Linked DNA regions of Cricetulus griseus. The protein of the gene in region 1 purifies or fractionates together with the protein of each later gene. This does not show direct contact. Links are inferred from orthologs where the notes say so. Each region holds a gene or a part of one and is shown in the gene's direction. Other genes may lie near its edges. The genes, in order: Eif4g1, Eif3i, Eif3a, Eif4b, Eif3j and Mknk1.

The links.
Region 2: the proteins of Eif4g1 (region 1) and Eif3i purify together in Homo sapiens (affinity purification with mass spectrometry; 5 studies listed by BioGRID and IntAct, counting the BioPlex papers as one, with this or other methods). This does not show direct contact. The link is inferred for Cricetulus griseus from reciprocal best matches to the Homo sapiens genes EIF4G1 and EIF3I.
Region 3: the proteins of Eif4g1 (region 1) and Eif3a purify together in Homo sapiens (affinity purification with western blotting; 4 studies listed by BioGRID, with this or other methods). This does not show direct contact. The link is inferred for Cricetulus griseus from reciprocal best matches to the Homo sapiens genes EIF4G1 and EIF3A.
Region 4: the proteins of Eif4g1 (region 1) and Eif4b fractionate together in Homo sapiens (co-fractionation; 4 studies listed by BioGRID, with this or other methods). This does not show direct contact. The link is inferred for Cricetulus griseus from reciprocal best matches to the Homo sapiens genes EIF4G1 and EIF4B.
Region 5: the proteins of Eif4g1 (region 1) and Eif3j purify together in Homo sapiens (affinity purification with western blotting; 3 studies listed by BioGRID and IntAct, with this or other methods). This does not show direct contact. The link is inferred for Cricetulus griseus from reciprocal best matches to the Homo sapiens genes EIF4G1 and EIF3J.
Region 6: the proteins of Eif4g1 (region 1) and Mknk1 purify together in Homo sapiens (affinity purification with western blotting; 3 studies listed by BioGRID and IntAct, with this or other methods). This does not show direct contact. The link is inferred for Cricetulus griseus from reciprocal best matches to the Homo sapiens genes EIF4G1 and MKNK1.

Annotation. Positions count from the first base shown.
Region 1 is NC_048597.1:67,973,473-67,976,972, reverse strand, and holds part of Eif4g1 (eukaryotic translation initiation factor 4 gamma 1), read left to right. Parts: coding exon 1-80; intron 81-1,978; coding exon 1,979-2,091; intron 2,092-2,889; coding exon 2,890-2,982; intron 2,983-3,187; coding exon 3,188-3,254; intron 3,255-3,500.
Region 2 is NC_048595.1:23,441,453-23,444,543, forward strand, and holds the end of Eif3i (eukaryotic translation initiation factor 3 subunit I), read left to right. Parts: intron 1-739; coding exon 740-850; intron 851-965; coding exon 966-1,055; intron 1,056-1,501; coding exon 1,502-1,575; intron 1,576-2,218; coding exon 2,219-2,311; intron 2,312-2,431; coding exon 2,432-2,513; 3' UTR 2,514-2,591; downstream 2,592-3,091. UniProt on the Homo sapiens protein: Component of the eukaryotic translation initiation factor 3 (eIF-3) complex, which is required for several steps in the initiation of protein synthesis.
Region 3 is NC_048596.1:552,983-556,482, forward strand, and holds part of Eif3a (eukaryotic translation initiation factor 3 subunit A), read left to right. Parts: intron 1-513; coding exon 514-602; intron 603-2,005; coding exon 2,006-2,727; intron 2,728-3,500. UniProt on the Homo sapiens protein: RNA-binding component of the eukaryotic translation initiation factor 3 (eIF-3) complex, which is required for several steps in the initiation of protein synthesis.
Region 4 is NC_048595.1:398,468,281-398,472,470, forward strand, and holds the start of Eif4b (eukaryotic translation initiation factor 4B), read left to right. Parts: upstream 1-1,390; 5' UTR 1,391-1,523; coding exon 1,524-1,536; intron 1,537-4,190. UniProt on the Homo sapiens protein: Required for the binding of mRNA to ribosomes. Functions in close association with EIF4-F and EIF4-A. Binds near the 5'-terminal cap of mRNA in presence of EIF-4F and ATP.
Region 5 is NC_048599.1:56,393,410-56,396,187, reverse strand, and holds part of Eif3j (eukaryotic translation initiation factor 3 subunit J), read left to right. Parts: intron 1-2,440; coding exon 2,441-2,602; intron 2,603-2,778. UniProt on the Homo sapiens protein: Component of the eukaryotic translation initiation factor 3 (eIF-3) complex, which is required for several steps in the initiation of protein synthesis.
Region 6 is NC_048595.1:36,459,606-36,462,345, reverse strand, and holds the end of Mknk1 (MAP kinase-interacting serine/threonine-protein kinase 1), read left to right. Parts: intron 1-904; coding exon 905-1,139; 3' UTR 1,140-2,240; downstream 2,241-2,740. UniProt on the Homo sapiens protein: May play a role in the response to environmental stress and cytokines. Appears to regulate translation by phosphorylating EIF4E, thus increasing the affinity of this protein for the 7-methylguanosine-containing mRNA cap.

The DNA of each region.
Region 1 (3,500 bases):
CCCAACACAGCAGTACCCTGTGCAGCCAGGAGCCCCAGGCTTCTATCCGGGTGCAAGCCCTACCGAGTTTGGGACCTACGGTAAGCAGGGGTGAGAGTGCGTCCTACGGAACACTTAAGTGGTCTGCTTTCTAAGACCTTCCTGGGCATGCTTTTGGTTTTTAAAATAATAGGATTAATAGATGATAAGAATTTGTGCCTACAGCTGGGCGTTGGTGGCACAAATCTTTAATCCCAGCACTCGGGAGGCAGGCCGATCTCTGTGAGTTCGAGACCAGCTTGGTCTACAAGAGCTAGTTCCTGGACAGTCTCCAAAGCCAAAGGGAAACCCTGTCTTGAAAAACAAAACAAAGAAAAAAGCGCCTACTATTTAACTCCTATTGGTAAGGGAAGCTTTGATCTTTTGCCAAGAGAGTTGGAATCTTTTTCCATTTCAAGAAACATAGGATCAAGTTAGGAGTGGTGGCATACGCCTTTTATCCCAGCCAGTACTCGGGAGGCAGAGGCAGGCAGACCTCTGTAAGTTTGAAGCCAGCCTGCTTTACATAGTGAGTTCCAGGACAGCCACAGCTATGTATTAAGTCCCGGTCTTGAAAATAAAACCAGGACCAGGGCCTTCAAGATTGCTCTGTGGTTAAAGGCATTTGCCCCCAGCCTGGTGACATTTGATCACTGAGCTTGGTCACTGGGACATGGGTGGGTTGAAGGAGAGAACTGACTCCTCTAAGTTGTCCTCTCACCTCCACTCATAAGCCATGGCACTCAGGCATGCATATGCTAAATGGATGAATAAACTAATCATTTTAAAAAAGAAAGAGCTGGAGATACAGAGCTCAGTGGCTTAGAGGTTCTTGCAGGGGGCCCAAGTTCTGTACAAGACCCATGTCAGTCACCTGACAACTGTCTAAAACTTTGAATGCCTGGAGGAGCCAACGTCTCTGGCCTCTCTGGGTACCTATAGGCATGTACATACCCCACACAGGCACATAGTTAAGAATAAACTGAAAGAAATACAGGCTCCAATTTTAAAGCCAAGTTAGTGGACTTTTTCTGTATTGTATCTTTTCATTGTTGGGAGACAATAACATGGATTTGAGTGGTTTTCATAGCTATCTTTCATTTATGTTCAATAAAAGAATTATTCTGGAGAAACCCTGTCTTGAAAAAAAATGAAACAAAAAGAATTATTCTGATCTATATGGCAGTTGGTTTTGTTTTTGAGACAGGGTCTTAATTATGTAGTTCTGGCTTGGCCTGGAACTTGCTCTATAAACCAGGCTAGCCCCAAACTTGCAGTGATTTCCCCCTGCCTCTGATTGCTGGAATTACAATTGTGTGCCACCATGCTAGCTTACAGCAGGATCTAAAACTTCCTATTGGGAAGATGTTAAGTATGTTCATCTAATACATTTATAGTTTTCTATATGTGTACATGTGATTTAAACAGATAATCACCATTGGTACTTTACAAAGGGACAAGTGGGGATTAGGGATGAGTTATAAGGGCACCCTACTTTGGAAACAATGCTTTAGGGAATTCTTATTTTTCTTGGGCCTAATGTTACTTTTTGTTACATTACTCCTTGCAAAGGGCTGAATTGGTAGTTGGAGTCAGGTTGAGTGGAATGGTTTGGAAAAACCTTTCCATTTCCTGCCAAAGAGCTGATTGTGTCTCAAGTTGAGAGTATACATGTGTGTTGCCGGGGTGGGGTAAAACCAGGTACCTTGTAGCAGAGAGAGGAAGGAGTTCCTGCCTACAAGGTGTGTGTGTCTATGAGAGGAATTCTTGTAAATGCAATTCAAACTGGTTCCCCTACTTTGACAGACACCTAATTCCCTAGGGAGGCGGGTAGGGCAGGGCAGGGGGCCGGCTATGTGTGATGAGAGGTTCTGCAGTGGGAGGTGTTCAAGCAGATGTTAGTATATGTTTGGGTCCTGATGCTGTCACCAATCTTCCTTTCTGTCTTCCTTCCCTCAAGCTGGTGCCTATTATCCAGCACAAGGTGTGCAGCAGTTTCCTGCTAGTGTGGCTCCTGCCCCAGTTCTGATGAACCAGCCACCCCAGATTGCTCCTAAGAGGGAGCGGAAAACTGTGAGTAGCAGCAAGGGGATCTGGAATAACCTGGGAGGGAAACTCATGGTCTGGTATCGCTAGGATGTTGTGCCTGTGGGTGCAGAATGTCATACACCTTTACCTGAGTTTAAGCAGAGAGCAAGTCTGTGGAGTACAAAGGTTCCTTGTAAGGTGATTGCAGTGTACAAGGAACTCATAGGATGACTAAAGTGAGCAGCAGGGAAATTCCCAAGAGACTAGGGCTCTAGTAGGATCGTAAGACCTGTGATCAGTTTAGGGTTGCTGGTGGTTAGCTTTGGAAATGGTTTGTTTTGTGCTCCTCACCCCCTAGTCCTGGAAGCTGTGGAGGCCTACGCCTCTGCTCAGTCCTCAAGCCCTGGGCATGGTGCCCAGAATAGGGTGCCAGGGCTGGGGAAGCCGCTGAGTCACCCTGGCTCCACCCACTGCATCTGGGCCCTACCCCTAGAGATCAGGCCGACCAGCCACAAGTTAGCTAGCTGGATGCTAGATGGGGGTCTTGAGCCCCAGGGTGTGCAGCCATTGACTTAGGGATTGCTGGTGGGTAGAGGGGAGGGAGGGAGGGGCATTGTGATGTACAGGGCTGCTCTGTGAGGTCAAGAGTCTTAGGGGTGGGGGCTAGGGCAGCGACTACAAGAGCAGCCGGATGGGTTGACAGTAGAACTCATGGGGTTTCTGGCACCCACCCACCTGCTTCCCAGTAGGGGTGGGAGGTTGGCCCAGAGTCTTAGGAGTGGGACAGGGTGGAGAGGTGGGCTCCTTCTGCTTCCCACTCATCCTGTAGCTTTTTTTCCCCAGATCCGAATCCGAGACCCAAACCAAGGAGGGAAGGATATCACAGAAGAGATCATGTCTGGGGCCCGCACTGCCTCCACACCCACTCCTCCCCAGGTACTGTCAACTCTTGGAGTGATACCTTGGCCTGGACAGCTATTCTGTCCTGGATTCCCAAGTCACTTGATCTTTTCCTTCACCTAAGGGTTTTATTTCCCAGCTTTCCTGGATTTCTAGGCAGAGCTAAAGTAGAAATGACTCTAGTAAAGAAGGGTGTGGAACTCTTGAGTGCAAACTTATAACGCTGCTTTGTGTCCTGCAGACGGGAGGCGGTCTGGAGCCTCAGCCTAATGGGGAGTCGCCTCAGGTTGCTGTCATTATCCGGCCAGGTAAGGAAGGCAGTGGCACAGCTTTTATGGGGAAGTGAAGTATGAGTATTTAACTTGGAGGTGGAGTGGTATGAGCTGAGGATCAGAGAAGAATAACTTGGGTTTCATGTGGTGGGTTTGCAGGTAGACTGTTTTGGAAGAGAAGGGAAAACAAACAGCCTTAGTTGGAAAAGATTGGGATGTGGTGTGAGACTGTTAAATTGGAAATAACCTTGGCTAGGAGGAGGAAAAACAACAAGTGAAGGA
Region 2 (3,091 bases), on another chromosome or scaffold:
GAAACCCTGTCTCAAAAAACCAAAAAAAAAAAAAAAAAAAATTCCAGACTTGAGGGGAGCTGAGGTGAGACACACCTTTAATCCCATTACTTGGGGGCCAATGGCAGGTGGATCTGAGTTTGAGGTCTATGTAGCCAGTTCCAGGCCAGCCGGGTAAAGGTGAAATGTTGTCTCAAAAAAAAAAAAAAAAAAAAAAAATTTCCAGGTGTGCCTATGCTACAGAGTGAGTTTAGGGCCAACCTTAGAAGTTTAGTGGAGAGAGATGCCACAGTGGTTAAGAATGTTTGCTCCTTTTGCCAAGGACCTGAGTTCTGTTCCTAGCACTACATCGGGCAGTTCACAGTTGCCTGGGACTCCAGTTCTAGGGGGATTCAGTGTTGCCTGGCCTGTGGACACTGACACATGTCCTTGGACACATATCCATACACATATTTTTTTGTTTTTTTGAGACAGGGTTTCTCTGTGTAGCCTTGAGTGTCCTGCACCTTGCTGTATAGACCAAACTGGCCTTGAACTCACAGAGATCCCCCTGCCTCCTGAATACTGAGGTTAAAGTCATGCATCAACACTGTTCAGTGTTTGAGTACTTGGGGTATTTGGGGTCGATCAATCCCAAAAATAAAGCTGGCATGGGGTTAGATTGAGGTAAGAAAGGTATAAAATGAAAAGTCTAGCTTGTCTGAAGTTTCTAGGGGAATAGTGGCTTGGGACTCCAGCAAGTCTCTTCTTCCTCCTCCAGTCTGGGGAGGTGTTGGTGAGCGTTAAGGAACACTCCCGGCAGATCAATGACATCCAGCTATCTAGAGACATGACCATGTTTGTCACCGCGTCCAAGGACAACACAGCTAAGGTCAGCCTGGGTATGGGTCTGGTGGAGCTTTGTTTGCCCCTCTGCTGCACATTCAACCAGTCTGACCTGCCCAAAAAGTTGCCCAACCCAGATTCTCCTCCTCCCTTCTCTCCAGCTCTTTGACTCCACGAGTCTTGAACATCAGAAGACTTTCCGAACAGAACGTCCCGTCAACTCGGCTGCCCTCTCTCCCAACTATGACCATGTAAGAAGACCCCACTCATGCTTCCTGCTTCTGGAGTCTGAGTATATGACCAATGCTAGGGCTGTAATTGTTGGGGAATAGTGTCAGAGAAGGGGCACCTAGGATTGTTACAGTGCTGATTGATTGGGCTTAGGGAAGTGAGCTGGGGAAACCTGACATGACTACTCATCCCTTTCTTGAGGATACTCCTGCTGTGGGTGGGAGACCTCAGCCAAGGACAGAAACCTGTAAATAAGTCCTGGTTGTACCTGAACTTTCCTTTCCTTTCCTTTCCTTTTCTTCTCTGCCCCCCCCCTTTTTTTTTCTTTTTTGGTTTTTCAAGACAGGTTTTCTCGGAACCTGTGTAGCTGGCCTCAAACTCACAGAGATCCTCCTGCCTCTGCCTCCCAAGTGCTGGGATTAAAGGCATATGCCGTCACCATCTTTCTGAACTTTCTTTTCTTTAGGTGGTGCTAGGAGGTGGCCAGGAAGCCATGGATGTGACCACAACTTCCACCAGGATTGGCAAGTTTGAAGCCAGGTAAAGGGGAAGCAAGCTCTTCCATATTGAAACCACATAAGGATTGTGACAGATGTCTAATACAGGAAATGAGGACAGCTGGGCATCTGTCTGGCTAAAGTGCCCTGCTGGCAAACCAGGTGCGTCCCTAGCACTACCATTGGGCCGTGGCCCCAAGCCTCTAACACAGTTCCAGTCACTCCAGAGATGGAAGAGCGTGAGTTTCAAAGTCATCCTTGGCCTCAGCCAACTCCTAGCTCACTTGGCTACACAGGACCCTATCTCTAAACAACAGCAGAGATCATGAACTCAGGGCCTAGATGAGCCTGTCTTTTTCTCTGTGCCTGTGATTTCCAACTGTTTAATGGCCAGAGATAGTGTACTCTCCTCAGAAATGTGTGCAGATTAAGTAAATGATTAATATTTAGTAAACTTTAGAGCACTGCCCAGTACATGCCTGGTGTTTGTTGTATATTGAAGCAGACAATTGGGCAGTCTTCCTATAACTTCATTATTTCTTTCCATCTCCTAATTTCTCTACTTTATTAATTTTGTTACGTAGAATACTGTCCTCAACAGTCTTCATTTTTTCAGAGTGCTGCCTCAAGTGTGTTTGAGGAGATGGAGACTAAATAACTGCTCTCCTACCCACCCTCTCTTCCAGGTTCTTCCATCTGGCTTTTGAAGAGGAGTTTGGAAGAGTCAAGGGCCACTTTGGACCTATCAACAGTGTTGCCTTTCATCCTGATGGCAAGAGGTATGGCCCCATTGAAGGGAGTGATCTCAGCGGCCGGGGGTCTCTGCCTGTTTGCTCTGTCTGGCTGCCCAGACTTCCCTTCTCAGCAGCATCTGATCATCACTGCCCATCTCTTAACAGCTACAGCAGCGGTGGTGAAGATGGTTACGTCCGCATCCATTACTTCGACCCGCAGTACTTTGAGTTTGAGTTTGAGGCCTGAAGCTGGATCTCCATCCACCGGGGAGGCTGCTCAAGAGGGTTTTAGACTCTTTAGAAATAAATTAGTTTGGTAAAAATAGTTTCTGGTCAGCCATTTTGCACAGCTTGTCAGGTTCTCCTGCTTCACTGACCCTCTGCTGGCTGAAAGTAATAGGAATACTTTGTTCTGCAGGCTTTCTCTCTGCACCCAGACTCTGCATTGCTCTGGGCTAGCCTGTGTAGCTGGCACTTTTCATCCACCACGGTCAAGAAGCCGCTGCCTAAGAAAGGGCTCAGGCTGATGCATGCTATAGTCTGAGAACCTTCCCTCTTCCTTTTCTGTGGATTTGATGGCTCGGGTGAGCGGGGCCAACTGGACCAGCACAGAAAAGGGGCTGAGGAAACAGAAAGGTAAGGAAGCCCAGCAGGGAGAGAATTCTCCAGGGGAATGCTTAGGGCTTACCTCACCATAGGCTCAGGCTCTGGGGCTCCACAGAAAGCAATGTGGCTAAGGAGTTGAAGAGTAGTTGAACTGAAGGTGGCTCTCAGTTCTAGCACCCACGTTGGGCAACTCAGAACTACCAGTAACCTCAGTTTAAT
Region 3 (3,500 bases), on another chromosome or scaffold:
TACTCATTACTAAGAGCCAAAGGCAAACATACTTGGTGAGGCCTTTTCACCAGTTTCAGCTGTCAGCTTGTGTTTTAGCCACTCTGAGCGACTGCTTTGCCCCTTAAACACTGCCTGGTTGCTGATTATATTTTTCCATTTTTTTAAATGTATTTTTAATCATGTGCATGTGGGTGTGTGCACATGAGTGCAGGTGCTCACCAACTTGTTGGATTCACTGGACCTGGAGTTACAGATAAACTTGTGAGGCATCTCTTGCTGGGAACTCAACTCTAATCCTCAGGAAGAGCGGTACATGTACTTAACCACTGAGCTCTTCCAGTGCCTGGTTTTTTTATTTTTGTGGAAGGACAGGTCTTAGACAGCCAAGACTGGCTTCACAGTGAAAAGGTTGCGTAGCCTCCCTCAACCAGAGACTTTTATTTTAGGATCTTGGGGTCTAATGAAAGAATGGAATGCTTGAGTGATAGATAACTTTTATTACAATGATGCCTCTTTGCTTTGTGGGTGCAGGACTCTCGGTGGGGAGACAGAGATTCAGAAGGTACATGGAGGAAAGGGCCAGAAGCTGACTCTGAGTGGAGGAGAGGCCCGCCAGAGAAGTAAGTGGATTCATGGGAACAGTCTTGGGTCTTGGTATCCTGATTTTAAAATCAGATTTTAATTATAGGAGGGTATGCAGATCCACCTGTTATTTGAGCAAAGGTCAGGGTCCTGTGTAGGTTTAAGATGACCTTGAACTCCCAATATTATCTTGACCTCCCTATTGTTATATATAAAAGCTTGTGCCACCATATCTGGTTTTACTGTTAATCAGACTTTGTAGGTTCTCCCCTTCTCCCCTTCAACATCGCTCTGATGACTGACCCATACAAATCCGAGAAATACATCCATCAGATTCCAACAACATTGAGTTTAAAGAGTAAGAATGAAATATGCTATGTTGTGGTGGGACACACTTTATCTCAGCACTCATGAGACAGGCAGGCGAGTTAGTTCTAGGATGCTAGGGCTACACAGAGACACCCCCCAAAAACAAACAAACAAACAAACAAAAATACCTGTCCATGTCATTTTTCTAATGGCAGAACATTCATTCACTCATGACAGCCTTTCTCTGTATTGCTTTGGAGGTTGTCCTGGAACTTGCTTTGTAGACAAGGCTGGCCTTGAACTCTCAAAGATCTGCCTGCCTCTGCCACCCCAGTGCTGGGATTAAAGGCATGAGCCACCAATGCTCGACTGAACATTATTTTAAAAAACTTTTTTAGTAGTATTAGAGATAGAACCTTGTTGTACAACTTCTCCTAGAAGTTGTAATATAGCTACATGCTCAGTTTTTAAGCTGTTTTTTATGGTTATTACTAGTGGTAGGAAGTGTGTTTTTATGTAGAAATTGTTTAGAGAAAAGCTCATTGTAAAACGTAAAGAACTTTGCAAGTCCTCTTGGGAAGCAATAGGTAATTGTAGGCTGTTGTCTAATGTTAGTATATTTAAGGTACTAGATTTTGTATAATTTTTATTTGGAAAAGATTTTTTTTGGTTTTTTAGAGACAGGGTTTCTTTGTGTAGCTTTGGAGTCTATCCTGGCACTCGCTCTGGAGACCAGACCTCGAACTCACAGAGATCCACCTGCCTCTGCCTCCCGAGTGCTGGGATTAAAGGCATGCACCACCAACTCCCGGCTTGGAAAACATTTTTAAAGGATGACACTGAATGAATTTAGACTTAATGATTTGTAAGAATGAGTGAAATCAAGGATCCATATGGTTTCTGAAAAATTTGCTTTTGTTTTTTTTTTTTTTTTTTTTTTTTTTTGCTTTTTCGAGACAGGGTTTCTCTGTGGTTTTCAAGACTGTCCTGGAACTAGCTCTTGTAGATGAGGCTGGTCTCAAACTCCCAGAGATCCGCCCCCTCTGCCTCCCGAGTGCTGGGGTTAAAGGCATGTGCCACCACCACCTGGTGAAAAATTAGCTTGTAAAGCTTGTAACTTGTTGCTCTTTAGGGAGTGGAGACGAGGAGAGACTCGGGATGATGAGAGACCTCACAGGAGAGATGAAGACCGCCTGAGACGCTTGGGGGATGATGAAGAGAGAGAATCTTCTCTTAGACCAGATGATGATCGAATCCCCAGGCGTGGCCTGGATGATGACAGAGGGCCTAGGCGTGGTCCCGATGAAGATAGATTTTCTCGTAGAGGAACAGATGATGACCGTCCATCCTGGCGTAATGCAGATGACGACAGGCCTCCCAGGCGAATTGGTGATGATGATAGGGGAAGCTGGCGTCACACAGATGATGACAGACCACCCAGACGGGGACTGGATGATGACAGACCACTGAGACGGGGACTGGATGATGACAGACCACTGAGACGGGGACTGGATGATGACAGAGGAAGCTGGCGCACAGCAGATGAGGACAGAGGACCTAGACGTGGGATGGATGAGGAGCGGGGGCCGAGAAGAGGAGGTGCTGATGATGAACGGTCATCCTGGCGTAATGCTGATGATGACCGGGGTCCCAGGAGGGGCATGGATGATGACCGGGGCCCCAGGCGAGGGTTGGATGATGACCGAGGACCTTGGAGGAATGCCGATGATGATAGAATTCCCAGGCGAGGTGCAGATGATGACCGGGGGCCTTGGAGAAATATGGATGATGATAGGATTCCCAGGCGAGGTGATGATGCAAGACCTGGCCCTTGGAGACCATTCGTCAAGCCAGGTAAGATTTAATATTTAGAAAATTAGATGCTTTATGGAATCCTGCCCTCTCCCCCCCTCCCCCTGCCCCACCCCATACAGGGTTTCTTTGTGTAGCTTTGGAGCCTATCCTGGCACTCAGACTCAGAGATCTACCTGCTTCTGCCTCCCGAGTGCTGGGATTAAAGGCCTGCACCACCAACGCCCTGCAGAATCCTGTTTTTTGTGTAAAAAATGAAATTGTATGGCTACATGACAGTTGTACTGTATTCTTTATTTTTTTATGTAGGTAGTTTTTTTCCTTGAGTGCCTATGCAGTGACTTTTAAATGAAAAATATTAAATATTTGTTAAAACAACGGTCCACCAATGGGATCCTATTGAGGATCTCAATTTTGTTCTTCTAGTCAACTCTACTCTGAGAGTGCTTCACTTGACACTTAAACTTACTGTTTCCTCCTCTCCAAATAAATACCTGCTCTGTGACCACCATCTTAAATATCTTAATTTATGAGTTCTCTGCTTTCTGTTTTAGCCTGTGGTAAGTCTGTCATTTAGTTTAGCTCTTTTTTTTGTTTGTTTGTTTGATTCATTATTTTAAAATGACATGTATGTGCATACCTGTGTGTGGGTATGTGTGTGTGTGTACATGTGAATGAATGCAGGTGTCCTTGGAGGCCATAGGCATCAAATCTCCTGGAGATAGTGAAGGCAGTTAGAGCCACCTGACATGGTAAAAGGGCATTGAACTACAAGAACAGTATGTGCTGTTGTTAATCACTGACACACCTTTCCA
Region 4 (4,190 bases), on another chromosome or scaffold:
CTAGAGACTGAACCCAGAGCTTCTTGCATTTTAGGCATTCTTCTACCAATAAGCCTTATCTTCAATCCTTTGTATCCGGTTTTCTAAAGGTATTATGAAGACATTCCCCGGGGCCTACAGCTTTTTTGTTCCTGTTTTGTGGGAGGCTTACCTGTGTGTGTCCCCATCTATGTAGGTGTCCACACAGGTGTGGGTGATGCTCACCCCTGCAGTCTAGGGGACTCTTGCCAAGTATCCTGTCTCATATCCTTAAAACAATCCAGTGAGAACTGGACCTGGTGTTAAGCAGCTGGCCAGAAAGCCCCACAAATGTATTGTCTCTGCCTTCCACGATGCTAGGGTTATAGACTAACCCTCCTGTAGCCATGGACCAAAAAAATATGTGGATACAAGGTTCCAGGACTGAGGCCCCTATTTATGCATTATCAGCAAGCCCTCTTACTAAGCCAGCTCCCCAGCCCATTTGTTAATACATGGAAGGATTCACTCCGTATACCAAACTGGACTGGAACCCGTTATGTAGTCCAGAAAGGCCTGCAGCTCTCAACAACCCTCCTGCCTTAGCCTCAAGAGGCATGCACCACCATGCTCATTCTAAATGTCACTTCCTCAGAGACCTTCCCTAAGCAGAACATCTAGAGTTGCACTCAACCACCTTTTACTCTATTATCTTACTCACCTGTAGTGTTTATCATTTGGAATATTCTTACTTACCTGTTGTGTTTATCGTTTGTAATATTTTATTCAAGGTAGTTTTGTTCTGTTATATCCACAAACCTCTGTTAAACAGTGCCTGACACATGGTTGGTGCTCAAAGTTTTACTTAGTGAAATATAATAAAAATGGAGCATTGGCTGGAAGAAATGTGGCTAGCACTCGGCGCTGGACCTTGTCAGTAAATTGGAGGCTTAAATGAGGCTAAAGTTCACGGCCTTAGCATGTTCAAATGTTACTTTCTTTTTCCTTCTAAGCACGCTAAAAAGCACGCTTAATTGAAACCATAATACAGAACATCAGATTTGCTTTGCCTTTACAAAAAGCGACTTAAAACAAACTCCGAATCTTCTCTTTGTAAAAAACAAAAAAAAACAAAAAACAACAACAAAAAAAAAACAATTGTGGCACATCCATTCTAGATTCCAAGCCAGCTCGGTTCCATGGAATCAGAAAGTGCGGCCCCGCCCTTCGCGCCGACCCACCTCCCAGAAGTCTGTGCGTCAGGAGACCCCGCCCAGGGCGCACAGCCGACCTGACCGCCGCGCCGGGCCCAACGTAAAGCGTAGGGTTTCGCGACAGCTCAGACTCCACCCCTTCGGCCACATGTCGCGCAGGTCTTCCGGTCGGACGCCGCGCCACCTCGTCGCGCTGCTTTACGAACCTAGCACGGCAGCGCCCCGCCTCCTCCTGCCTCCGTCCTCCGTTCCCCGCCCCCTCCTGGTTTCGCGTCTCCAAGCCCGTCGCGCCCGCTATAATCACGTGATTGCCTCATCCGGGTCCTTTGCGTTCTCTCTCCCTCTCCCAACATGGCGGCCTCAGGTGAGTGAGCGGCCGAGCGTGGCCAAGGACCGGGCTCCGAAATAGCCTCCGGGCTTGATCCGCTCCTTGCTGGAGTTGGGGGGCAGGTGGCACCGGCTCCCTTCGGACCTGGGAGCTGCGGCAGGCTGGCGGCATAGCCGCTGCGGGCTGGTGCCTCGGAATGTTTAGGGGGAGGGGAAGGCCTCTCCCCTCCCCCTCACTCCCTTTTTACCCCCTTGCGCGCGGTTGGAGTAGGCAGTAATGGTGGGCTTCGGCTCCGGTCGGAGGAGGTAGCGCAGAAAGGTGTGCGGGAGTCCCGCGCGAGGCCCTTCTCCTAGGCGTGAGGCGCTGCGCCCGCGCCCAGGCGCGGAGGAAGGACGGAGGCGGTTGGCGCGCGGACTGGAGCGCATGAGACCCGGTCTCCAAGGCGCGAGGCCGTTGCGGACCCTCGTGGGGGCAGGGGTGGGGGGGCGGTTAGAACGCGAGCGCGAGTCCGTGGAGGGGCGGGGGGAAGCGGCGGTGCGCGTGCGCGGCGAGAGGCGAGGTGAAGAGGGTTCGCCTCGGAAGCGTGCGCTCGAGTCCAGATGGCAAGCTCCGATGGGCCCGGGTTTGGCTCCTTGGTGACCTTGTACTTTATGCTTTGGTAGGTTTGGGGTTGTGGAGTGTGACCCGGCCTCTGTCCTCCAAGGGAACGCACATTGGGTTTGGAGGTTGGTGCTGCGATGGTTGGGGGTAGGGAGCCTAGTGTGCGCCCACGTGTTAGGGCGGAGCTGTAGGGATGGACACCTATCTCCTATGTGGATTTTCTTCCCAACTCTTCATTCAACAGTTTGTACTATATGCCAGGCAGGGGTGGGGAACAAGAGCAGGTCGTTGCCTTACACAGCTTCCATTTTGCTTGACTTTTTGGTAGTTTTCAGTTGTCAGGATTCAGCTTGCTTTGGTCGTTTCCCTGGATAATTGGGAAACTTCCCAGAAGGTGCTATTAAAATAATAGCTAGAGGTTCTGTGGTTTTCTTTTTTAAAAATGGGGTGTGTGTGTCACTTCATTGCAAGTGGGTTTGGGGGGGGGAGCTGCTTTTTCTTTGTTTTTGTTTTACATTTTAAATGGACTTGTAAAAATGCCCTTTTAAACACCTAGCTTTAGTTTAGGAAATACGCTTTATTTTCTCTAACATGACCCTCTAGTCTGTAAAAAAAAAATACTTTTTGGATTGTTGCCTCCAAACAATTTTGAGATAGGGTCTCTATAGCTTTGACTGTCCTGGAGCTTGGTAGACCAGGTTGGCCTGGAACTCACAGAGATCCACTGCCTCCCAGGTTCTAGGATTAAAGGCAACATTCAGTCTCCCCACCCCCTTCAGGTCTGAGGTTTCTCTTTGTAGCCTTGGCTGTCCTGGAAACTCTTCAGAGACCAGCCTGCCTCTGCCTCTCAAGTGCTGGGATTAAAGTGTTAAGACACCACACCCAGCAACATTTAATTTATCAGAAATCCATCGTTTCTGTTCTTACAAGGGACCTAGGGCTATGATTGTCTTTGGGAAATGTTCGCTGAATTTAGATGGCATTTGTGCATAAGACTTTATTTCCCCCTCTTGCATTGTTGAACCTTAAACGCAGAACTTTTGGATACAGTAGGCACCATGCACACACACAGCCTTTTTTTGTTTTGTTTTTAAGATTGTGTTTTTGGGGGATTGGAAGCTCACTTAGACCAAGCTGGCCTTGAACTTAGATCCTCAAGTGCTGGGATTAAAGGCATGGACCAGCACATGTTTAGGCAAGCACTCTGGGTAAACTATAAATTCCCAACCCTGAACCAAGGATATACCAACAGCTTTTGTTACTGTAGCACTTAACTGAAGAAACCTGTGAGATAATGTAAAGAACTGGTGATTTCTCCCAGCTGAAGAAAAATTGCTTGCATGTAGCAGGGCAGGGTCAAAATCTTGGGGGACTCCAGGCTCTTGATCTCATTAAGATGGGAAATACTAAAGTGCCACGCTAAGTTGGAGTTGCTGTTGAAAACCATCATCTAAAACTTAAGAAACTGTTTTAAATGGTGGAAAATACTCAATGGCATAGGTGTACTACCTTGTCAGTTGAGTGTCTTAACTGAGTGAAAAGTCTAGATGTGTTTCCCCTTCGAAATTCTTAGTGGTGGACAACACCATAGCTTAACTGAGGACGTGGCTCCGATATACCAAGGCTGTCAAGTTTAGATCCCAGAATCCACATGGTGGAGGCCAGAGCAGACTCCTCCAAGTTATCCTCTTACCTGTGTCCTATCAAACAATAGTTAAGAGTAAGCCGAATCTTTGGTTTTACTCTGGTGTGCAATTCACAATTTAAAAGGTTTGCCTAGTAATGTCTCTTCCCCCTTTTCTCACCTATCTGTGTTACACTCCCAGGAAGACCCTCTCCCCCCCCCCCCTTTTTAAACTTAACTCGGGAAATGTAGCTTAGTGTGTTACCACAGCACATGTTTACCTATTACTTGGCCTTTGAAGAGTTTGGAATTGACCACACTTCTTTCTCCAATTACACTGACTTTGAGTGACCATTATACATACCCAGAGTTGGAAATGGGTTTTGGGTTCTCTGTGAAAATGCCAGATATAACTTAATCACTAATAGGTAAGACCAAACATTTGAGGCAATACCAGTTTCCATGT
Region 5 (2,778 bases), on another chromosome or scaffold:
GGACTTGGGCAGAACATGTTAGTCCATGTAGAATATTCAGTTTTGGCTTTGCCTTGTGTTCGGAGTTGTTTCTTTTTCTTGGCCTTTATAGTACACCATCTTTCAGGGCCATCAGTTATCTTAACAGCTTAGGAAGTCAGGGCAGGAAGTAAAGCAAAAGCCATGGAGGATTGCTGCTTACTGGCCTGCTCTCAGTAAGTCTGCTTTCTTACAGTTCCCAGGATCACCTGCTCAGGAGTGGCACTGCCCACATCTAGCTGGGCTGTCCCACATAAATCAGAAATCAAGAAAATGGGCCATAGGCCAATCTGGTGGGGTCATTTTCTTTTCTTGGTTGAGGTTTCCACTAAACAAAGGACTTTAGTTTGTGTCGTGTTGATTTAAAAACTAGCCAGCTACCTAAGGAAGAGTTAAAAGACATAGTAGAGAAATCCAGAATACTTCATTTGTCAAATTTGTCATTACCCTGTGAAAAAATTCACCCAAGGCCTTCTCTAGAACACAAGAGACTTGCTTGTTCCCCTTTAGGAAAGTCTGACCATACTCTTCAGTGGGTCTCTAGCAATTTCAGCTGTGAATGTGGGTGTTCCTCTATTCATGGCAGCCCATGTGTGTTCAGAATAGAAAATCTCATGGGATACCAGTTACAAATTAAGAAGTGAAAAATGAAATAACACAGTCATTGTTTGGTTAGTAGGAATTTACTGTTTCTTGCACTTACAATGCTGAATCTGTAGTTTTGCTAGGTCATTTATTGACCTTGAAAAAGGTATATACATAATCATACTTTTCGCCTAGAATTCTTTTAGGCTAGATTTATTTTCTCTCGGTGTTTTTTTTTTTTTTTTTTTTTTTTTTCTTCTTCGAGACAGGGTTTCTCCGTGTAGCTTTGGAGCCTATACTGGCACTCGCTCTGGAGACCAGGCTGGCCTCGAACTCACAGAGATCCACCTGCCTCTGCCTCCCGAGTGCTGGGATTAAAGGCGTGCGCCACCACGTTTTTTTTAACACATGGTTACTTCTGTTTAATTTTTGGGGTTAGCTGGTTATTTTTATTGTATCCATCTTTTTTGTTATCCTTACCCATCTTTGCCCAAGGATGCCTTGGAAGCCAGAGGACAACTTGTGGAGTTGCTTCTCTCCTGCCATGGGAGTTCAGGGGATTGAATATAGGTGGTCACGCTTGGTGACAAATATCTTTACCTACTGAGCCTTCTCCCACTCTATCTCTTTTGTTTTTCTTGGACAGATCTTTTGAGAGCATCCTTTTTTGGACAGCTAGTAAATTCTGTGGGTCCTTTTTTAGTATGGCTTTTGTTTTTGAGACAGGGTCTCTGTGTAGCTCTGGCTGGTCTGGAACTCACTCTGTAGGCCAGGTTGGCTTAGAACTCACAGAGAAGCTTGCATCTACTTCTGAATGCTGGGATTAAAGGTGTTTTCTAACACTTTATTTTTAACAAAGGAAACCTGTTCAATTGAAACAGGAATCAAATCACAAAACAAATCCATGATAAAAGTAAAGATTTTTAGTTTCTAGTGCAGGGGATTGAACTCAGGTCTTCATACATGTTAGGCAAACACTACCTGAGCTACATTCCCAGCCCATATATAGTTTTATTAATTTGGTTGTTGGTTGTTTTGTTTCTTTTTTGAGATGGGTTTTTGCCAGGCTGGCCTTGAATTCTCCATCCTCCCAAGCTGGGAGTATGAATGTTCATAACTACTCAACTTCATGTGTTTTGTTTTGTCTTTTCAAGATAGGGTTTCTCTGTGTAACAGCTCTGGCTGTCCTGGAACTCATAGAGATCCACCTGCCTCTGCCTCCCCAGTGCTGGGATCACAGGCATGCGCCATCAACGCCAGGCCGCCAGGTGCTTTTTAATAGTAGTGCTTGACAGTACTGATCAGACAGTGGTGGGGATATCTGCTCCAGCTGCAGTGTACTCCGAAGGGTTTTTTTTAAATGTTTTTGCCTAAAATTAAAATAGGCGAAAATGCTGAATTGGAGGCTAGTAAAATTCAAGATAGATTTTTTTCTTTTCTTGTTAAAAAGCTCAGTAGTTTGTAAAGTTTCCTAGCGATGGAATGGTGGCTCAGTGGGTATTAAGCCTGATAACCTGAGTTTGATACCCCAGGGCACATATTGATGGAAGGAGTGAAAGTTTATCCTCTGATTTACACATGCAGGTCATGGTGGCATGTGCACACACAATATGACAGTTTGTTTAAAGTCCTGCTTTAGAATAAAACTGATTTTGATAGCAACTTGGTTAATGAACTTTAAGGTTTTTGTTACAGAGAGGGTTGTGTTGAAGTCAGAAGACAGTTTTGTTGTGTAATCATCTTTACATGGGTAAAGCTCTTCTTACCCAGAGAGCCATTCTAGCCCCTATTGATGAAAATGATTGTCTTCTAATGCTTCAGCTCTTTTCTCCTGCAGGTGTTAATAATACAGGTTATGGAATAGATGCTATGAACCCATCTTCAAGAGATGACTTCACAGAATTTGGAAAATTACTAAAAGATAAAATTACGCAATATGAAAAATCACTATATTATGCCAGTTTTTTGGAAGCCTTAGTTCGAGATGTCTGTATTTCATGTAAGTGATGCTGATTTCTGCCCCCTTTGTTAAGACTATATTCTTAACATACTTGGGAAACTTTTTTTGTTGTTACTGTTTGTTTTGTTTTTCTATAGCTTTAATGCTATAATACAGACTTGGGATTTCCTTTTTTAGCAAATATCTCCAGTTTGAATATTTGGGGATGGCTACTT
Region 6 (2,740 bases), on another chromosome or scaffold:
ATCAACAAGGCCCTGACTTCAGTTTCCAGCACTTAAAACAGAAAAGAGAGAGAAATATAATTCCATAGTGTACAAACATCAGAGATAACACTGGGTGATACCATCATGTGCGCTTGTCAGCAACTGAAATGCCCTGCAGTCTGTGACTGTGCTAGATCCATAGTCTTTACAAACAAATTTAAGTTTTCCAGCCCCCATTTTAGAGATGGAAAAGGCAAGAATCAGTGGGCTCAAATTAACTTGTGCTGGGACCCATAGCAGCTCTGGATAAATTTCTACCAAGCTCTGCCCACAGAGCTGGAGCTAAGCTGAACAGAAACCCCCTTAGGGACCCAACCTTGTGCAAACCCATGTTCAGCATCCATGGGGCTCTGGACCACTGCAGCTCTTAGGAGAAACTACCCAGAATAGTCTCCCTTTGTCCACCCCAGGCTGCCTCCACACAGCTGGCTTCCCACTTGACTAAAGCTGTTGCAGATGCCTCCAAGTGCCAAACCCTGGGTCCCTCTTAGATGATTATTCAACAGACCCAAAGTGTCTGGCAGATGCTTGCCCTGGACTGGGTTCTAGAAGCACAGAGATAAATAGCTCAGGCCCTGTACTAGAGCCCCTCCCCGCAGGAAAACAGAGACAAGTGCAGCCTCTTGGCGTGGGAAGAGCCTGGAGGTGGGTGCTCTGAGAAGAGGCCATTTGCCCTGACTGTCCAGCCCATGAGGCTCAAAGGCCTTTCTTATCTTAGTCAAGCAAGGTTCCAAACCCAGGCAAAGCCACTTTGGAGAGAGCAGCTGACCCAGGAAAATATGCTGGATTGTAGGACCTAGCTGTGAGTGGGTGCATCTGCCAGCCTGCCTGCTTGATCTCAATCCTGCTGCCCTCTTCTCCATGCCTTTCCTGGTCCCTACAGAAACAGCAGCACCATGGACCTGACACTCTTCGCAGCCGAGGCAATTGCCCTTAACCGCCAGCTGTCTCAGCATGAGGAGAACGAACTGGCTGAGGAACCTGAGGCCCTTGCTGAGGGCCTCTGCTCCATGAAGCTGTCCCCTCCTTCCAAATCTCGCCTGGCACGAAGGCGAGCCCTGGCCCAGGCTGGACGAAGCAGGGATGCAAACCCATGTTCAACATCCATGGGGCTCTGAACCACTGCAGGCACATCTTGTAGGCCAGTCCGGGCGATGCCCCCTGGAAACCTGTGAGGTCAAAGAATGAAGCAAGCAGAGGGACCTACCTGCCCTGCAGCTCCAGGCGGGCCTTTTCCATCCACAAAGGCTCCATGGGTTCCCACCCATCCCCCATTTCCCTTGGGTCCTTAGAGGAAAAAGCTTTTTCCAAAGGGGTTGTCTTTGAAAAGGAAAGCAATCACTTGTCACTTTGCATAATCGCCTGCAGCATGAACATCTCTTTGCTGGGCTCCAAGTGCTCGCTGTGTGCAGATCCCGGATCCAGCTGGCGGTGGGGGCTGCTGGGGCCGCAGCCTTCAGGGAGCAGCTTCCCGGAGCTGACAGAGGCTGCTGACACACATGCCTCTTCTCTCCCTGCACTGTCACCTTCTGGCAATTCTTCCACCTTCCTCTGTCCTACAGACGTCCTCGCTGACTGTCCTCTCCCTGGCTGAGCAAAGCCATCCCCTCAATTCAGGAAGGGCAGGAAGCCAGATCAGTCTTCCAGTCTGTAGCACAGAGAAGCACATAATCTTTCTTTGCCGTGACCGAAATGTATTCCTCATTTATCATCCTCTTCCATGTTTGGGATTGCTGATAGACTCAGTATTATTTCTTTTTTAAAATATTTTTTAACCATGTCTTCCAGCAAGCATAGAACTTCAAACTCCCACTGCAAGTCCATGGACTTCCCCAAGCAGGGTTTCCATGTGCTTGGGTTTTAATCCCCTCTTCTCCACAGTCCCAACTGATTTTAAGCTGTTACTATGACATACACTTTAGAGATGGTGTCTTCGTCTGCTGCTGCCTTCTCCCAGGTCTTTTATGGAAACAGGCACAAACCCAGGGCAGTTAGACTGCTGTGCCTGACATGAACCTAGGTCACAGGCGGCCCTGCTGCCTTGCTCTGAGGGATGCAGTGCCCTCAGCTCCAGACATGGTGGTGTAGCCATTGTCATATATACTGTGGAGTCGCATAAAGAAAACAGATTTGCATATGTGACACACACATTATTCAACCACAATCACCAAAATTCTCTCTTAAATTGCGTTTGTTTTAATAAATAATTTAAAATTCCATCTGACAGCCTTGGTGGTCCTTTCTTCAATGGCAAACTTGAAGAGGAGGCAGGCCTCCAGGATGGGGCCTGAGCCTAGTCAGATTATGGGAAGGACTCCCAAGTATAATAGCACATTTGATCCACAAGGTGAGATGGAGAGCTTTGCTTCTCTGTTTGTAGATGAGGAAATGAAATTCATCCAACACCACTTCTACAATAAATGATTCTGCTTTTTAACAGTTGTATGTCGAGAAGAGGTTGCAATTAGGTCAGTAGTCATCACACAAGCAGACTTGAGAAGGAGCTATGATAGATGACCCTGTACCCATCCACAAAAGACCATATTTCTCTGTCTAAAGCATTACTATGCTTTTATTGAGGACCTGCTGTATGCCCAAGACTGAACTTGTCCTACCAGAGCTGATGACAACGAGAAATGGTGCCTCCCACCCACAGCCAGACTAGAGACCAAGGAGGTGCAAAGAAGGAATCTGGATGGGCTCAGGGTTCAGGTCATGG